Linked DNA regions of Nothobranchius furzeri. The protein of the gene in region 1 interacts with the protein of each later gene in a pairwise test. Links are inferred from orthologs where the notes say so. Each region holds a gene or a part of one and is shown in the gene's direction. Other genes may lie near its edges.

Region 1 (4,517 bases):
TGTCAGAGCTGATGTCAAAGTTCCAACGCTGTCTGTCTTTCAATCAAATATCTTCAGTATTAGAAACCGTTTTAAAAGGGAAGAATTTGTTTAGAACCAAATTCTATGTTCATTTCAAATACCATCAAAATGAATCACTTAAATCCTAAAGTTGGATGCTGTTGGTTTTTTTATAAGCTTGAGTGAAACACAAAACAGCCATGGTCAGATAATAGTTTGTAATAAAACAGATTACTTACAGGTGATGTGTGTATCTGCGGTGTTTTCTTTTAGGTTTGTGCAGCTCGGTGTCTGTGCTGTGAATGATGTCAGAGAGCAGCTTGCCTGCCTCCTGCTAGAGCGTCTGTTGCGTTGGTGGGGGCGAAACAGCCAAAAGCCCTCCCATGAACAGCTGGGGATGCAGAGCGGAGGAAACGCTCTTTGTTTAGTTTGAATGAAGGCAGGTGGAGAGATGGGTGAGGAAGGGGGAGTGGTAAAGGAGGGGTTGATGAACGTTCCAAAGTAGGTGATGTGTTTTGCTTTTTCCTTAACCATAACACATCCTGATAAAATGTTTCTCAAAAGACATATAAAGAAAACTTAGCACATCTGGGAATTGAACCCGGAGTCTCTCGCATTCAATATGAGAATCATACCCCTCTACCAACAAAATGCTGATGTGTTAAAGGAACATATGTATATTGTAGGTAATAAATGTTTCATGTTTTCTTGACATTTGTGCTGTTGAAGCATCGGTTCACGATGACACCTTGCTCGCGGGATTGCGGTAAAAACGGAAAAGCTATCATGATATCCCTCTTCCCTAGCCATGGCCAAGCAGATAATTTATACAACACTCACGCAGCGACACAGCGACCAATATGTTCGGACAGCAGACCGCCGAATTTTCAAATCACATTCTAAATGACCATGCTAAAAATTATGGGCTCGTCCGGGATTTGAACCCGGGACCTCTCGCACCCGAAGCGAGAATCATACCCCTAGACCAACGAGCCACGTGTCCGGGAAAGACACATAAAATAATTTAAAGTTAATTTAAAGTGATATGTAGTTTTTCTGTAAATGTACTGTTTTAAAAGTATTATTGTATTTTTACACACTATAATAGAATGTCTAATTTCATGGAATTTCAGACGTACCTTCACGTTACACGACATCTGAATCTTAAGCCGTGAGATTAATGTGTTTGTTTTTTCTTTAATTTTCCCTCCCAAACCTTATTTTTAAAGTCGAAGACCAAATAATAAATTACATTTTTTAAAATGTTGCCTACGTAAAACGTAATGAGGTCACAGTTAGAAGGCGGATGTACCGCCTTGGAACCGGAAATTCTTTGTAAAGAAAAGCAGTTGAACGCCGAATAGTGTTGTTGACGTAGCGATGTCATCAAACTTGTTTATACTCTACAACGTGCCGGTCTTAGCTTGTAAGGACAATCTGGATAGAGTCCACCGTGTTGTAGCACCTTAGCGCGCAGAGGGGACAGACGGCGCCATTTTTGAACGAGATGGAGGTTTCTTTGGAATCAATACAGAATCCTGATATAAGGTAACAGACGTTTGGTTTGTCGTGAGGCTAAGTCAGCCATCTTTAGATGCGTGTTTACACAAATGAAGTTGATAACACGCTTTAATCTTCTGCTACGCAGCTCTGTCCTGTCCTCATGCGAGCCTGAGCTGCAGGAGCTGATGAGACAGATTGACATTATGATCAATCATCAGAAGAGGGAGTGGGAGGCTGAGCTCCACGCTCTGCAGCTCAGGGTCACCAGTGGAGAAGAAGAGCTTTTAACCTCCAAGACTACCATTGAACGGAGGGATCTGGAGGTGAAGTGACGATTCATCCTTTTTTGCTCAAAAGAATCACAAAAGTAATTTAATCAACACAGAAGCTTGTAATAAAAAAGCAAGCATGCCCTTATTTTGACATGCAGCATTTTGAAGGTAACATTTTTCCATCCCATTTCCAATTCCAAACATGGACTCTCCTGCTAAAACAGTTTTTATGGCCACTGTCTCCATTTCTGGCCTCACCTAATGTTGGAGACTTACTAAATTATTCCTTAAATGATCAGAAAGCCTCTGCTATGAAGATTCGTTGTACTCTCAAAACAAAACCTCCTGCAGATTCAATTAAATGTTTCAAAAATAAATGTAAATGTGTGAGGATGTTGGTTTTAGGACATGTTTTAAACCGTAAGGAAGGAGACAGTAAATAGTTGTGGCATGAAGCATTTTATCTCTATTCCCATAATAACACCATCACCTATTCAATCAATCAATCAAACTTTATTTCAGACAAGGGATATGTCCATAACAAGAATAAAAAAAATAAAAAATAAATAAAAAAATAAAATACAAACACATTCTAATTACAAACCATATAGGCAGTTGCTCCAATGTTTAAAAAGGACTGAGGAGTACCTCGTGTCACTGTAAGATAAAGATGACAGAGCTCTAACAACCGCGTTAGCTGACAAACTCAGTCGGCAGATGAATTTGTACATGAAGAGCCTCAGAAGCGCATGAAAAGTTGGGATGTTACTCGTAACAAACATGTGACTTGCCGAAGTCCATCTAGGGAGCTTCATGAGGATTCTAAAAGCATCCTGATAAGCCACTTGAAGCTTCTTCATTACTACCTTACTATAGTTGCACCACAAGTGGGCGGTATAGAGAGGAGTACAAAAGGAACGAAAGAGGGACACTTTTACAGGATCTGAGCACATGCCAAAGTTACGTGCCAGAGTGTTAGCCTGCATGTACAGCTTACCACACTGCCTCTTAATGTCCTCGTCATCACAGAGGTCACTTCTTAAAATGTGCCCCAAATATTTTACTTTGCTTACCACTTCCAGGACCTGATTTGTTAAGTTAAAAGATGGAAAATTAAGCTTCAGGTCCCCTTTAGTAGCAGCAATCATAACCACACTCTTTTTAGGGTTAAACAGGATGTCAAATTGCTCACCATACTTAGCACATGCCCTGAGCAGCTGCTGCAGGCCTGCGCTATAGGGAGACATGAGGACTAGGTCATCTGCATATATTAAATGATTTACCAGTCGGTCACCCACCAAGCATCCAGTCTTACTAGCATTCAGAGTAACAGACAACTCGTCAAGGTACAGGTTAAAAAGGACAGGTGACAGAATCCCGCCTTGTCTGACTCCATTTGATACGGAGAAAGGTTCAGACACTTCTGTCCCCCACTTTACCTGCATCAGTTGATGAGAGTACCAGAAGTGCAAAATCCTAACTAGGTAAGAAGGGACCCCTCTGTTTTGTAGCTTGATGAATAATTTCTGATGATTGACTCTGTCAAAGGCCTTAGAGGCATCTAAAAAACACATAAAAACAGAAGTATTATGCCTCATGTATTTGTTGCAGATTGGACTTCTTCACAAGCAGCTTGAAGCCGTTCAGACGGATCGGCAAGAGTTGGTATCCAAGTACGAACAACAACTAAAGAGACTCCGTGAAGAGGTGTGATCATCTGTTTTTCCTCAAATGCACTCAGCTATATCGCTTGTATCATGTTTATTGTTAACATCGTTTCTTATAGTTGGACAAGTTGAAGAGAAGTTACCAGAAGCTTCATCGCAAACAGCTTAAGGAGACAAGTGGAGGTGGAAAGGAGACTGAGCTTGCAAAGGTGAACTAATAGATTTTCCTGGCATTTCCATCTCCTGGAATTTGATTAATCGTTCTTACATTGGTGCAGAAGCATCAGCAGCGCTCTGAGCAGCAGCGAACTCGGTACCAAAACCAGCTGACCACACTGGAGCTCCAGAATAAAAGCCTGAACCAGGAGCTTGCTCACTTAAAGGTTAAAAAGCACATTTATGACTTTCACTCAGGAAGCCAGACATATTTAGTGTATAAAAGTGTGGAAGACTGCTGCATTGTTGTTGCATTTCAGTAATATTTGTTTTTCCAGAGCCAATGGGCATCGGGGCGGGTGGAGAGGGAACACAAGGAGTGCTGTTCAGAGGTGCAGCATCTGCGTGCACAGCTGGAGAAGGCTCAGGCCAGCCTGCACTCACAGGAACTGGAACTGGATCGCCTCAGACCGCTGGAGGTGCTGTTGGGACAGTCCCAGAGAGAGCAGCAGGTTAGCAGGGCGACAGGAACATGTGAGATGTGTGGCTTCTCAGCTGGATACCAAACATCTTCCATCAGATTCCAGGTGTTTGTAACAACTCTGGAGATAAAAGTCTCACTGTTTGGACTCCAAAGGTCTTCTAAAGTTTGGACGAATTTCATTTAGGCTTTTATTACAGCTTCCATCCAATCACGTCATTAAAGCTGCAGGAAAAGAGCCGTAAATACTTGAGCTGAAAGAAAAAAAAAGTCAAACAAATTAATTGAAAGAGCTGATCACTTCAGGCGTCCATGTTGAAATGAGCTCTAATGAGCTAGGAATCTGCTGCTCCACAGTTGCCGTCGGGGCAACGAGACAACCTCCACGCCGTGCTAGACTCCCGGGATGCGTTTATGCTCAGAGCCGGTCTTGAGCAG
Region 2 (3,455 bases), on another chromosome or scaffold:
CCTAAAATCAAATACCCATGCCGTATGGAAGGGTCGTTCTGACTAAAGTCAAGCCAAGAACAAGAATAGGGTTAACATTTAGATCTGTGTGTATTCAGCTGGGACATTCAGTCTCACACAGAGACAAACAGTTCTTTCTCTATATGAAGTTTTCCCTTTTCGTGACAATTTTATACGTCTTTATATTTCGATGTTTTCTTAATGTGTGACTTCCTCCGTTTGCAGGTTCTTTAGCTCCTGGCTCTCATTTTCTTGGACGCTTTCAGGACCGTATGGTTTGGATAATGATCCTGGAGAGAGGATATGGCTACTGTACTGTCAACATTAAGGTGTGTTGTCTCAGTCTTCCTGTGTCTAACAGACGTACTGTCAGATCGTATACTGTAAGGAGTTGTGGTTTTCTGACAGGGTCTGGAGCTGCAAGAGACATCTTGCCACACTGTGGAGGCACGGAGGGTAGATGAAGTTTTCGAGGCTGCTTTTGAGCGACCCGAGCGTCTCGGCTTCACCCAGGGCTTTAACCTGCACTGGGGTAACGCCCTCACTCCTTGTGCTGCACTTGCGGTGCGAGCGTACTCCGATGCCCGGAACGTGCTCTCTGGTATCATTGACTCTCATGAAAACTTGAGGAAACTTCAGGATGACTTCATGAAAGCCCTGATCTGGCTGCTCCTGCGGTACTGTGTGCAGAAACATCGAGGATTTCTGTGGCGCGGTGAGGAGGTGTCCGCGAGTGGAGGCACAAAGTCCCAGTCTTCACAGTTCGCTCAGACAACCTGCAATCAGCCATTTGAGGCTGTTGTGGTCGAATCCAACCTGTCTTCTTTCAGGTTCCGACAGGAAAGCTCTAGTGGGACTTCTTTTGGAGACTGGTCAGATGAGGATGACTTGTTTGGACCACAACCCCCCAGACGGACAGTGGCATTAGTCACCGCAGAGGCCCAACCTGGACACTCGGCCCTGCAGATAGGAGCCTCTTTGCCTGGCTCTGTAGAAATGGATAGTCTTTTTGAAAACATGGCTCTTTCTGCCCTGCAGCCACTGCAGCCCCTGGGACTCAGCATTGGGATGCCAGCAGTAGATAAAAGCCGAAACACGGAGGTCCTCAAAGAGAGTTCTCATTTAAACTTCAGCTGTCCTCAGTCTGAGATATTTAGCCTTCCATCAGGGTGGAGGACAGCACCGTTACTGCCATCTCGCTTGCTGTCTCTTAGGCCCCTGTTTCCTGAGGAATGGTTTCGGTTTACCTTGGGACGCTTTGGACTGGCTGTGCAGGAGGAGACTTCGGCGGACATGACCAAAGCCCTGAAAGAGGATGAGGTTTTAAAAGAACTACATGCTAAAGTTGCACTTTCTTGTCTCATCTTGGTGGGGGCGGAGTCTGCCTTCACCAGCCCTAGTTACATTTACAGACTCTACTGTGGAGATGTACCGTGGACCGAAGGACTCGACTGGCTGTCCTCACGTAAAGAACTCTACCAGCTCACACTTCAGGCATTCAGGTAAACCTGCTCTCCACATTTTAATGACCGATCCATGGAACTTAAAAAAAAATCTGCTCGCTTTGATTTGCCTCCAGGTTTAGTTTCAAGCTGCTGTTTGATCAGGCGAGCCTCGGGCCGATGGAATCCCCTGAGGAGTTGTTCAGCACTTTAGAAGAATATGAAAGGGACTGGTACATTGGCCTGGTTACAGAGAAAGGCTGGCATGACGGTGTCCTTCAGGAGAAGCCTTTCCTTTTCTCTCTGGGGCATGATCTCACTATGGTAAGTGAACATGGTCAAGTAAAGATTTACAGCGTTGATGGATTACATGCAGTGCACATGAAAGTGATTTTGCTCAAGTGATGACTTGAAGATCAGTGAAATATCTGCGGAATGACGTTTTCGTCCACAGGGTACCTACACAGGACGAGTCCTGTCCCTGCAGGAGCAGCTGATACAGGTGGGCCGTCTGAACGGAGAGGGGGTTCGAGGCCAGTGGGCAAACCTTTCGTGGGAGCTGTTGTATGCGACTAATGATGACGAGGAGCGGTACAGCATACAAGCTCACCCCTTTATGCTTAGAAATCTAACTGTTCAGGCAGCCGATCCTCCTCTAGGTTACCCAATTTACTCATCTGCCCCTCTTCACTTTCCCTGTCTCTGACCCGCCACAGTTCTTAGTTAAGAGGGGAACCCCTTTTTTTAACATTCATTAATAGTCTGAAGAAACCTCCACCTGCGCTTGAGCTTTACTCTCTAAACTGTTGACTCACGAAAACCCACTTTTTACACACTTTTCAGAATTTTATCTACTTCAGCTCCTAATGTGGTCGACGTCTTTAAACAGAACGTGATGAATTAGCTGGTCTGTAAACCAGGAAACCAAAACGAGTTAACCTAAATTAAACCCAACAAATCCATTTCCTGCTCTACTTTTTAGGTTTCACACTCCTCAAATTTTAATTTCTATGTCCAGATAAAGGTACAAGATGCTGAATGTTTTGTTACGATATCAAGGATGTGCCTTGAGTATGTCTTGCTCTGTGTACGATGATTAGTGCTATTGTTTTGTTTACAACTCTGTTGTTTACAGTTAAAAATTCAATGAATATGTTGTTTCTTGTATAAAATGTTCATTTTTATATGTGTGCTTGTAATAAAATATGTTGACAATAACAACTTTACCATTTTTAACTAAATGGACAGAAAATTGATCCAAACTAAATTTTATTGTTCAAGCAAAAGATCAGTACAAATGCATCATTCTTACAGCCGTTAGTCTTTGCAAGCATTCAAATTCAGTGTCAGATGTTAATTCTTTGAATTGTAAAGACATGGATAGACAGAAGTTTTCAAACTTACTCTAAAAATCAGAAAACATTCACAGTTAGGAATGCAGTGAGATCCCTGTTCAGGAGGTCTTTGGTTTAGTGAAGTACGCAGAGTCTGCATCCTGCAACAGAAAAGGCTGGTTGTCAGCTCTGGCTTGATGTTACGGAAAACCAAATCATTTTTATTCAAGGATGAAACGTGAATGAGAGATTTTTTAATCTTGAATAACTGTGTGGTGACCCCTGACATTGCTTTCACTACAGAGGCCTCAATGTTAAGAAATACTGTTTATTTGGTAAGACTTATTTCATTCCCCCCCTTTGTGAAGCACGTGAGGCCCGTTTTTGACTGGTAGGAAGGAACAGCACCTTCCAACATGGCCCCCAGCTGTCCCTGTCCAGCAGAGGCCACTTGGTGTAGTTATCAGTCCAGTCACACATTGAGAGTGCAGCTTCGGTTTTTCTTAATCATTGCAGGCAAAGATGCACTTACCAGACCAGCTTTAAAGTTTTGTACCCTTTTCCTGCCCATCATGTTTGTGATGGCCCAGGCAAACGTGGGTGCATACTGCCAGGCGTAGTACATGGAGAGGAAGGGCTGCTGAGCGATCCACATTTCCTTAACGCCATTGGCAATTCC
Region 3 (4,237 bases), on another chromosome or scaffold:
TTTTATCCAGAACAGAAATGGGGAGAGAGGCTTAAGGTGCAATACAATTTTCCACCTCTAGATGGTGCCATAGGTGGAAAAACTCCAGATTTGGAGACTCGGGGGAGCTGAAATGGTTTTATAGCAGAGAGACGTCTAACTTCTCCTTTTTCTGATGAGTGTTTAGAGAAGTTCAACCGGAGAGTTAAACAGGTTTTATTTAAAGTCATCATCATCACACAGGTGAAGTTGCCTTTGACCCATCCCCATGGGGGCAGCACTGAGCTGCAGCTGTGGCTGCGCTCGGGAACTACTTGGTGGTTTGACCCCCGAATGCAACCCCTTAAAGCTGAGAGTCGAGCAGGAAGGCATTGGGCTCCCATTTTTAAAGCCTTTGGTGTGACCCGACCGGGATTTAAACCCCCATCTCCTAATCCCGGGGCGGACCCTACCACTGGGCCACTGAGCTGGTTTAAACCGGTTTAAGTTGTTATTGTAATGACGTCTTTTACTGGTTCTGATTTTCTACAGTGATCCTTGTAAAACATAAAGCTGCTGGACTTCGTGAACCCCAGGGCCTCGGGTACAAACCAAACCCAAACAAGTGGAGCGAAAAAAGCTGATAAATGTATTAAACACAGATTTAATGAGATATGAAGACCAGACGCATGTGAACGAGTGATTTCCTGTTCTTCTGCGTACGTAACGTACCGTCGCTGCAGCCTGGCTGTCCTGGGAAGAACACAGAAATGTTTAATAGCTTCATTGTGATAAGTCTTAATTTGATCCTAACGTTTCTCTGAAAGCTCCTGGTGTTACCAAGGCAACCAGGACTTGCATCCATCCCTTCTCCAGCTTCTAAAACACTTCCTTGTGGTTGTTCCCTTGTTCAGATCGACAGCTCTGAGTTGATCCGTAGCAGAGAGCTAGTCGCACGTAGTCTGTCCACACCGAGAGCTTCCCTGCCTCCTAACACCGTCTACATCTACCGACCCCTGCCGAATCCGACCTCCCCGCTGGGTAAGTGTCACCTCATGAGTCTGGTGCAGGTTCCAGTAATGTTGTGTCCAAACCCCTGAGGATGGCTCTGACGTGAGCAGGAAGGTGTTAGGACAGCCCTAGCGCTGCTGTTTGTGTCCGTTTGCTCGGGGGGGGGGGGGGGTCTTTCCTAATGTCCATTGTTGTCCTGAGACAGCACTTCCTGTAGAAGTCCTCATTAGCAGGAAGTGATTCTCCAGCAGTGCAAATCCGATCCCTACCAGACTGGAATCATCGGGAAGAGGCGTTTGGACCTACAGGGCAGCCGGTCTCAGATTTGATTTATTATGATGAATGTTTCTGCGTTTACTTACCTGGTGGAGGTGGACTCCACAAGTCTCCTCAGATCAGGGTGTTGATCCGAGAACTCGCCGCCTTCGTCTAGCTGGTATTTACCTGCAGACTGCTCTGAAGGTTAGGAAGTGGGTAGTTTTAGGACGTGGATCCTGGCTGCACCCCGACTAGCCTAGAGGGGCCGGAGCTCATTTAACATTTCTGTTCAAGTCTCCATCATCCTTGTTTCCAGGAACTGTCACCTCCCTCGCTGAGACTTCCAGGGACCACACCCTCAGCTCCACCGCCGTCCAGCCTCAAGCAGCTGCTGCTGGGGAGGAGAGGAGCTTCATCTCCTCCTCTGAGAGCAAAATCCCAGCTCTGCTCTCACCCAAACGCCTCAACCAGCTGCAGAGGATCACGCTGCGCTGCAAAGCTTCCACCAAGAGAAAGGTAACGCTGCTCCTCCCCCTGGGAGGGAGAAACACACACACACACACACACACACACACACACACACACACACCAAACACCTGGGGCCTCATTTATCAAGCTTGCTTACGCACAAAACGGGGTCGGAAAACTGCATAAGCAACTTTCCACGCAAACTTTGGGATTTATGAAGGAAAACTTTAAGCTGACTAAGGACCTGGCTTACGCCGGGGACACGCCGGCTGCCGGAGCGCCGCCAAACGGGGACCACCTTCATTCTGCGCCCTTGTCATCCTACTCTATAGGCCACATGGGCCGCCGTGCGCCGGCGCTCCAGCCCGCGCCGTGCAGCGATCGTTTTGGCGTCTGCTCTATTTTATTCGCGAGCCGCGGGTGAACCGCGTCAATTCTGGCAGGAAGTCAAACCTGGACTTAAGACGCAGGCCGGTAAATTTAACAAAATAAAGCATTTCAAAATACAATTCCACGATAATGTGTTCGTAAACAGATGCTGCATAAAAACCACACACACACACACACACACACACACACACACACACACACACACACACACACACAGCCTGAAGTGCAGAATACGGAATGCAGAATATCAGCAGGGGGACAGATTGAGACAGAACATCATGCGTCTGTGACGGTGTGTGTCCTGTCACTGTTACCCGATTGATCACGCGACCTGGCTACCTGTACAGGGGAGATCTCCATTTGGCTGACTGGTTAGTGCGCGTGACTTTCACCCGGGAGTCTGGGGATCTAACCCCGATTAGACCACTCTTTTTATATCCGCCACAGATCTCTCTGAAGAACTCACAACATTGACGGCTTCAGCAACGCTGTGCCACTCCGTGGATTTTCTCTTATTTGTTTTGCAAAAGCACTTCCTTTCATTTCTCCACCTCACCTCAACTTCTGCTTGTGAAATAGCGCTTCCTTGATCTGCCTTGATCTACGGTCGCCATGTCATTGGCAGAGCGCTGCAACAGCCGGCTTATGTGTATGCATGAGACCCACAAGGCACTTTGCATTGACTATATGTGGCAGTACGTGGGCGTGGCGAGGGCGGGATGCGACTAAAATGCAGCTGAGAAACGTTCTAGATAGTTTAGACTGCGTGCAGCTGTGCGTACTCCGTGTTTGATAGATCACAAACCTGCTTGGCGTAAGTACATTTGTTTAGCTGAGCTTAAGTACGGTTTTAGTCAGGATTCTACGCCCTGTTTGATAAATGAGACCCCTTCTCCATTTCCAGGTGGAGCAGATGGAGGTGGACGACTTCTACGATGGCATCAAGCGTCTCTACAACGAGGACACCACCGCTGCAATCCAAGAGGTGGGGGTATCAGGAGGGGGAGGTGAAGGAGGAGCAGACGGCTCCTCCTCTTGTCCTCCTCTGCAGCCGGTCAGATTCTCGTAGAACCAGAACCACCTCCACAGAACCTCCAACCACAGAACAGCTTCTGCAGCAAAGTCACAGAAACTATTTATCCCATAAACTCAGTAAAACGGCAGCTTGACTTGACGTTTCCCGCCCGTAACCGCTGTTGCTGTCCGGTTCTGTTGGGCTGGTTCTGGTTCTGAATGACCCAGAGCTGTTCAGCTGGCTTCCCACCATCCCCCTCAGCAGGAAAACAGAGCACAAAAAAATTTTAACATCCCAAAATGTAAAAAAAAAAAAAAACCTCTTTCTGCTACTATTAATTATGTTAAACACTAATAAAACAATTAAAAACAAACAGAAAAAGTTTCCCTTAAAATGGACGTCGATGTTGCCTTCACTGACCTGTTTATTTATCTGTTGTTTCTGATTCGTCTCCAACAAGTCAGTAGCTGAGTGTTTGAATCTGTTCAGTCGGGAACAAACTTTAGTGCCATTTGTGTTCTGATTAGGACCCGTCTGGGTTCCTGACGCCGCTCCTCCTGCTGCTCCTGCTGCCAGACTTCAGCTCAAGTTCTGATTTAGTTTCTACCTTAAAGAATCCACAAGCAGCTTTTAGTTACTTCGCTGAAATCGCAGCTAACAGCTAATGATGCTAACCACGTTTTTACATTAAAATGCTGCAGAGGCTTGATTCTGAAAGCAAACAAAAGCTGTAGTGAGTTTATTTTCCATGTTTGTGTCTGAGTTTAGGATGCTGACGATCTTCCCTGATGTTTAAAATGTTTTTCCTCCGTGTAAAAAGTTCTGTTCCTGCTGAAGGAGCTGCTGGCGACGGCTCCACATCCTCCACCACAATAAAGACTACAACCAGAGTCTGTTTTCATCATTAAGACACATCTGTGGAGAATATCCAGACTAAAGGTCACATATGTTTCCAATGGTGTTTGTTTCTGAAACACTTCTCTAACCCTCTGATGCACGAATTATGAAATCTTCAACCATGATTTTTTTAAACAATTTTTTTATTTATTTTTAGGTGTGAATGAAACAAATTTCAACAAATATTTTTTGTAGCATTTTGGTAATTTACAAATAATTTATTACATGTCCACCTCGGTG

The links. The genes of interacting proteins can lie anywhere in the genome.
Region 2: the proteins of cep63 (region 1) and pcnx4 interact in a two-hybrid assay, tested with the Homo sapiens proteins (2 studies listed by BioGRID and IntAct). The link is inferred for Nothobranchius furzeri from reciprocal best matches to the Homo sapiens genes CEP63 and PCNX4.
Region 3: the proteins of cep63 (region 1) and ccni interact in a two-hybrid assay, tested with the Homo sapiens proteins (2 studies listed by BioGRID and IntAct). The link is inferred for Nothobranchius furzeri from reciprocal best matches to the Homo sapiens genes CEP63 and CCNI.

Annotation. Positions count from the first base shown.
Region 1 is NC_091756.1:60,715,036-60,719,552, forward strand, and holds the start of cep63 (centrosomal protein of 63 kDa), read left to right. Parts: upstream 1-1,354; 5' UTR 1,355-1,507; coding exon 1,508-1,548; intron 1,549-1,648; coding exon 1,649-1,826; intron 1,827-3,386; coding exon 3,387-3,482; intron 3,483-3,561; coding exon 3,562-3,651; intron 3,652-3,720; coding exon 3,721-3,825; intron 3,826-3,936; coding exon 3,937-4,110; intron 4,111-4,436; coding exon 4,437-4,517. UniProt on the Homo sapiens protein: Required for normal spindle assembly.
Region 2 is NC_091758.1:31,251,716-31,255,170, reverse strand, and holds the end of pcnx4 (pecanex-like protein 4), read left to right. Parts: intron 1-225; coding exon 226-329; intron 330-408; coding exon 409-1,502; intron 1,503-1,579; coding exon 1,580-1,766; intron 1,767-1,896; coding exon 1,897-2,148; 3' UTR 2,149-2,668; downstream 2,669-3,455. Other genes in the region: dhrs7 (dehydrogenase/reductase SDR family member 7), read right to left, coding at 2,896-2,937, 3,309-3,455.
Region 3 is NC_091746.1:73,444,821-73,449,057, forward strand, and holds the end of ccni (cyclin-I), read left to right. Parts: intron 1-872; coding exon 873-999; intron 1,000-1,543; coding exon 1,544-1,743; intron 1,744-2,989; coding exon 2,990-3,154; 3' UTR 3,155-3,450; downstream 3,451-4,237.